Linked DNA regions of Oryzias latipes. The protein of the gene in region 1 interacts with the protein of each later gene in a biochemical or structural test. Links are inferred from orthologs where the notes say so. Each region holds a gene or a part of one and is shown on either strand. Other genes may lie near its edges. The genes, in order: bone morphogenetic protein receptor type-1A and bmp4.

Region 1 (4,319 bases):
GTCTGGAAAGACAGACAAACTGACAAATCGTCAAAGCCCAGGAAATGTTGACATTTTCAATTCAGTCTCCAAGCTGCTGGTTTCAAGAACTGTGGTCAAATAAGAGATTTAGCAGCATCTAGTGACTATAAGGGGAATTGCAACAAAATGCTGTTTAGAGCATCGCCTTTGGAGCATCCTGAGCTTTAGTGTGACCTACCTTCAGATCAACTGAAAGGGTTTCATCTGTGGGAGTTTTTATAATGCCGGATGTCAGTCTAAACTCTGCGTGTCACGATTTCTGCTCTGTTCAGACCAGTTTTTACCCTGTCTCCTTTTATACAGTTTATGTCAGACAGTGTGAATGTGCATGCAGAGCAGTTTGTTGCAGCATGTTGGGATGTAAAAAAAAAAAGCTCTGACCCCGCCCTCCAGACACATACGCAGAATATTACTGTAAAGAATGGTTAGAAACTGTGATGAGCAGCAGGAAGGCTGGGATGAACCTGCTATCACTCTGAAATGCTGCTTTACTGTTTGACAGGTTTACAAGGAGAATTACAGCATTGCAGTCTGAATAAAGCGAGCACTTACATCATAAAAAACATCTGCATTTGTCCTGTTCTTCATTATTTCACAGCTTGAAATCAAGAAAAACACTTGGGTTTTTAGCAGCTTTATAAACTAATTCACTTCAAATTTTACATTTACTAAATTCCATAAAATAATGTTGCTTTTTCGAGCATCAATATTTTGAACATTTAAAATGTTTAAAAAAAAATATATATATATATATATATATATATATATATATATATATATATATATATATATATATATATATATATATATATATATATATATATATATATATATAATACCAATCCAGCGTCTATGTTCTTATCTGTGACCAAACTCTTTTCAAAAAGTATTTACTCTTCCCTTTAATTTTTTTCTTTTTTTTGCAGACCTGTTGTTTCGCTACTAGCCACTAGATGGAGGCAGACTAAGCTTAAGTCAGAATTTCAAAGTAAAAGCCAGGACAGAGTAGTGATTGCAAAAACAGATGAAAGAAATTAGGCAAGAGTTCTCACTCTGACAGTAATATCAACTCAACCGGGAGGTTAGACGGAGACTTTATTACCTTTTTCAGTTTTTAAAAGAAGAAGGCACAAAGAATAGATACATTCAAACATGATTTTAGCGTGTGGTAATTTAAATACAGGATGTTATAAATAGTTATTATCCTCAAATTTCTAATAGACAAAAAAGTCACATGAACTGCATCCATGGGAAACGCAATGAAACAACGTAAACTATAGAATTGAATATAAATGTGGCGCACAAAAAGAAACGCTTACTGTATGTTGGCAGTATAGATTTATGATAAAAAACATCAATAATAGAGATTTATTCAGATGTAAATCTGTATTAAATTATTTACTAATTAAAAAGTCAGGTAACTGGAAAGGCTCATCCGGAAGTTTGACTGTCTCATTTGACGTTAGAGTGAGTAGTCTCGTTGCTCACAGACGATCTTCGAACAGGTTTGGGATTCACTGTCCTCGCCGTCAAACAGAGAAAACCGCAGAAGGAGCGAGTACTGAGGCGCATGGAGAGAACGGCAAAACCGCTGGAAAATACGTATCTGTATCCCGGAATACTATTCAGAGTTAGGATTTAAACAACAGATTTGTGCTGGAAAACGAGATGCGTCCCAAGGAGTAAATAAGGCACCCAGGAGGATAAGGTAAGGCGGATAAGATCCAACAAAACCCCGAACTTCACTCCCTGTAGTTGGACTTTTCAGCTCCGTCTATGTGCTGAATCACATAGCGAATAGAGCCTGGAAGAAAATAAATGTAAACTTGGTATTTATACATTATTTTATGAAGTAGTTATTAGATTATAAGTTCGGCATTGGGATATATTGTCAGTTGTTTGTGATACTGAAAAAAAAAATTCAAATAAAATGAACAGATTTCGTGAGTGGTTTGGCGCCAGGAAATAGTCGTATCCTGTTGGCAACGCTGTCGAAAAAGTTCCCAGTTGTTGAGCTTCGGCGAGATTATTAAATGTTTTGCAGAAAAGAGGCTATGATGAAGCCCATCAGTATGTAAGCAGGCATTGTTGATCCCAGATAAGTGAATAAAATCTGCGGGAGAGTTTATCTGGATCATCTTTGCCGCAGTTTGTTCACCGAGATGTCGCTTGTTAGCCGCATTCCTCGGTTAGCTAACTCCGCAAATATCACTTATTTGTAATAAAACAGTTTTTACGGTTAGAAAAAACGTGTTACCGATAATTTTGATCAATTTTGCCCGTTTGTCCGTGAGTTCGTTTGTCTGTAGTCAACTATGTGTGAAAGTTAGAGAAAGTTGAGCTAAGTTTCTCGTTAGCATGTGGGGCTATAACACGCAGAGAGAAGGTCTAGTTTCTGCTGGTTTTCTCTGTTTACCTGAAATTATTGCTTCTCGTGCACGCGCTACCCGGAGCCACCTGTGGCGCGCTCGTTTTGTAGCTTGTTGTGTGTTTGTGTCGGAGACTGCCAAACATATTTAGCCTCCAGCATCAGCCCCGGAACACAAACTCTGATTGTTTTTTTTTTTTTTAATTATGTTTTGGTGTTAGTGCAATGTTTCTCCAAACTCCAAAACCCCACATTCAGTTTAGCGAAAATTCGCAAACTTTCCTGGTTAAGCCTTCGTTGAGTTTGTTGACATTTTTGGAAAAACCTCGAATGTATTCCACTCGGGGCTTTCTTTTTTGCCATACTTGGGACCAGTATTGTTGAAGTAAAACTTTTTTTTTTTTTCTTATTGTCAACATGTTTTGGTCGTTATGTTTGTTGCCTTCTTAATACCTGGATTGTTCAGGTTTTTTTAATCTCCAGACAAATCTGGCCTATACCTTTTAAAATTGATTTTAAGTTGATTGATTTCTGTGGTTTAGGGTTTCAGACAGAACGGCTCCCTCTTGTCCTCAGGGGCTGTTCTTGGTTCAGACCTGTTTATTTTCCATTTAAAGTCATCTTTATTTTATGTGATGGTCTTTAATATGTTTGATTATTTCATCCTATCAAACTGATTGCCTAATCAGTGAAATAATGTGCAGTTTTGAGCAATTAGTTTTGTGTTGGAGTAAAATCCTAACCCAACTGAACCACGATTAGCTTTCTTTTTTAACTGAAACTAGTTGGTTCTTAGATCAGAGCAGTTTCTGTCCTAAAAGCTTGACGTATGCTCCTTCAGTTCAGTTTTTTTTAAAAGTCCAATCATCATTGACTCTATTGTAAAAGTGTTCCTAGTGGTCTTTTAATTATAAATATGCCGTTTTAAGCCAATCAAAAAACAACCTTTGTTGTTTTTTAGGACATAGTTTCTGCTGAGCGGCAGTACTTCATCGGCTTTTGGTGCAGACTAGTAAGCTTGTCTGTGCTTCCCGTCATTCATCTGTTTACACAATCTCCCTTAAACTTGTGCAACAAAAATGAGGAGCAATATTGGAATCATCCAGATGTTCAGTTTTGAGCCACATACGAGCTCAGACCAGGGAAATTAAGTACTTGGATCTATTTATGTCCTCCGTCATGAGAAAAATGCCACAAGAACATGTTAAAAACACCAAAAACATTATTTTTATCAGAGTGGGTCTTCAGAACATTCTATGATTATAATCTATAAAGTGATAATACAAATAAATAACAATTCTTACTTGACTAATTATTACTTGAAGAAGACACTTTAATATGGTTGTGTAAAACAAATTGAAAATGGCTGTTTTAATCACATTTTAAAGCTTTTAAGAGACAGAATCCTTTAAATGTGATTGTAAAAGATAGATTAGTGACATCATGACAGAGACACACTACTTCCCAAAAGAGCAGTGGGTGTTTTATAAATCTGGCAGGTTTTTTTTGTTTTGTTTTTACTCTCTATTGTCGTTGGCCACTTTTTCCGTAGTCAGATAGAATATGATTATTTTGTTGTGGTGTCTTACAGGGGGTTGAGCTTGGTCCAGCTTTTTTGTAGTTTTTGGGTCTACGTTTGTTCAGCATCATAGGCAGATGTCATGCCTGTATCTATGTTTTTTGCTAAGATTAGTGTGTTTCTGTCAGAATCTTGGAATTGTTGTTAAGTACAAGTCTTTTTTTATTTTTGCCATTGAGTCCTTCATGTGTGATGTTGGATTATAGCCGTTTCACTGAAACTGCAGGTCTTAACTGTTTGTTGAATGAATGGTGCTGATTCAAACATTTTTGTTTTTTTAAAACAAGAGCCAACTTTTTTTTTGCAGATAAATCGCTGAGTGTATGTGTTGACATACCCTAGTTACGTTAA
Region 2 (3,150 bases), on another chromosome or scaffold:
GGAATAGTTCTCAATTTCCTAGAAAGTTTTTCAAATCTTTTTTAAAATATATTTTTTAAACTAATTTGATGCAAAATGCAAACAAATTAAGTCAAATATGTATTTTATTTTTCTCATTTCAGGATTTTTTGTGATTGAAATATAGTGTAACTTTTATTTAAAAATATTTTTGTAAATAGTTGAGACATACTTTTTTTTACAACGGACAAAACCAATATTATAAAACAAAAAGATTACGTTTATAGTGGTAGATTAACGCCAAGGTACAGATGGAACTTGATTTTCTTGATATATGACATATATATATATATATATACATGTAACGGTATATATATACCATATATATTTTTATATATATATATATATATATACACACCATATTTATGATATGTATATATATATATATATATATATATATATATATATATATATATATATATATATATATATATATACATGTAACGGTATACATATACCATATATATTTTTATATATATATATATATATATATATATGTGTGTATATATATATATATATATGTGTGTGTGCGTGTATGTGTGTGAGTGTTAGGCTTTGCTTATTTTTTCAGATACAAAGTGGGTACATATTATGATGTGACCGATTGATTTAAATGAAGCAGTTCATGTTTTATTTTTTCTGTATAAAACAAAAGCAATAAATATCACCAGTAAATAAACTTTACTTTGTTTTTACTATTTTCTCCATAAAAAAACAAAAAAACAATCTAATGTACATTATGAAAAGTTGTACAGCTTTTGTTTTAAAATAAGGGCTCAATTTGTCTTTAATATGTAGATATAAATATATATATTTTGCCAAAATGTATGATAAAAGGGAAAAAAGTGAGACAAACATACAGATCATAGAAGTTATAAATAATGGTAAATGTTTTTGGGTGGAATTGTTTCTGCTTTGTTTGTTGCCAGTCCAAATGACAGGTTTTTTTTTTCTTTTCTAAAAAAAAAGGTCTTCATACTCCACGGGAACAGGACATTTTTTTCGGCTTCACAAGGTAGATGAAAGAAATCTAGGATATTTTGAAACTAAACTTATTAGAAGTCCTGATTGGGTCCTCCTGCTGTGACATTACACAATATATAATGAAAAAGTGAAAATGCAGTTCATTGAGGAGAAGGAAAGGAAGAATCATGTTGGATTTGTCGTTTTTAGAGCAGGGTCTTCCTTCAACAGTGGAAACCAATCGGCCATGAAAGACTTTTTCAGAATGTCAACCGATTGTTTTTACGACATGGTCCATCAGATAATGCCATTCAGTCAATTTGCACCTACAGACAGAGCTGCATTAACCCCGCCCACTTCAAATCAACCAATCATTAAACACCTTTGCACAAAATACAAAGTTCTGCTTAAAAGTTGAGTTGGGAACAAGCTGGGAGAACTTGAGAAAAGAAATGCAACAATTGCTCTTGCACGACTGGGAGATTACATTTCTCTGCTCCCGCGGAGTATGAAGAGGCTTTCAGTTTGTGGGTCAGCGGCAGCCGCAGCCTTCCACTACCATTTCCTGGTAGTTTTTTAGGACCACCTTGTCATATTCGTCTAGGTATAGCATTGAGATGGCGCTGAGCTCTGTTGGTACGCAGCAGGCCTTGGGAATGTTGTTGTTCACAGAGTTCACCAGTGTCTGCACGATGGCGTGGTTAGTTGAGTTCAGATGATCTGCCAGCGGAAAAGGGCACTCTCCGTGGCAGTAATAGGCCTGGTAACCAGGAGGTGCCACTATCCAGTCATTCCAGCCTACATCGCTAAAGTCCACATACAGAGTATGGCGCCGGCAGTTGCGGTTTCGTTTACGCCCTCGTGGTTTGGGGCTGCGTTTTGTCCGGCGTGTCAATGAGTGACCCTTTCCATCGTGGCCAAAGGTAACCAGAAGAGGGCGTACCTGGTCCCAGTCCTCTCCTGGCTCCTGGTGTAAGGAACGGCTGATGCGGACATGTCGGTGCTGGTTGTGTGGAGTCTGATTAAGGTGGAGAATCTCCACAGCCAGTCCATAATTAGGGAGCCGTTCCCGAGTCCAACGTAGCACAGCGGGGCTGACGTCAAAGCTCTCCCAACGCGAAGCGTTGTGGCGCACAAGCCGGGTGTCCAGAAGCTGCGTGATAAGCTGCCCGGGCCGCGGGGGTTTAAGCACCTCGTATATGTTTATCCGATGAAGGCCCTGGTCGTTTAGGGGGCTATCATCGTTGGCCTCGCCCAGCTGCTGACGGTAGAGTCGCAGCTCTGCGGAAGACAGCAGCTCGTCCTCTGGAATGCTACTAAGGTTGAACAGGAAGCGAAGACGGATGGATTCTGCATCATCCACTTCGTGTATCCTCTCCATGTGCTCTGAAAACAAGAAAAAAAAGTATGTTGATGCATAGAGAATAACTCTGCTGTGTTTGATGTGAACTCTTGTAGCATTAAATTTGACTTTTTTAGAAGCTTACGAGCATTTACGCAACTCAAGACAAACAGTTCATCTCCTCACTCTTAAGCAGGCTTAACTCACATCAAATAATATAAGCCTAGACATCTTTAGGCCTCTAGCGTAACCAGGTAAAGAAATATATATCATCCACACTTCCTTATCTTTCTTCGAGGATTATCCGGCTCTTCTCCGAGCATCTTTTTCTGAGCACTTTGCTGAAACATGCATTACAAGGAGGGTGGTGATTAACGTACCACAGCTACAGTATAAACACAGTGAAGGCTCCCTGTTCCACGCACAGTCTGCAGATTTCTGGCAAGATCACCATTGTTGGGGAAAGGAATGTTGTGTCTACTATTTTCCTGCTCAATCCACCCCTGTTATTTCACACCCAAGCCCTAATCTTCCCCAGGTGGTTCTCATTATTAAAACCTGCTGTGCTTTTGATTAGCACTGTAGTTTGTTCACTTAAGACATTTATCATTTTCATCATGAATAATCATTAAGGAATCAAACAATGCACTAGAATTACACTTACTCCAAGCCTGTGGGAAAGAATGCTTCGCCTGGCTAATTAGAATTTCAAGTATCCACACACCTCACCTCTGTGTTCCGATGTCTGACTAAAGAAGCAGCTGGAAACATCACTTTCCATTACCGAAGGGCAGTCAAAGCCATCTTTAAGGATGAAAAGTTTGCCT

Evidence for each region.
Region 2: the proteins of bone morphogenetic protein receptor type-1A (region 1) and bmp4 form a complex in vitro, tested with the Homo sapiens proteins (3 studies listed by BioGRID and IntAct, with this or other methods). The link is inferred for Oryzias latipes from reciprocal best matches to the Homo sapiens genes BMPR1A and BMP4.

Annotation. Positions count from the first base shown.
Region 1 is NC_019873.2:12,328,662-12,332,980, reverse strand, and holds the start of bone morphogenetic protein receptor type-1A, read left to right. Parts: upstream 1-1,518; 5' UTR 1,519-1,729; intron 1,730-4,319. UniProt on the Homo sapiens protein: On ligand binding, forms a receptor complex consisting of two type II and two type I transmembrane serine/threonine kinases.
Region 2 is NC_019880.2:7,812,186-7,815,335, reverse strand, and holds the end of bmp4 (bone morphogenetic protein 4), read right to left. Parts: intron 2,368-3,150; coding exon 1,514-2,367; 3' UTR 694-1,513; downstream 1-693.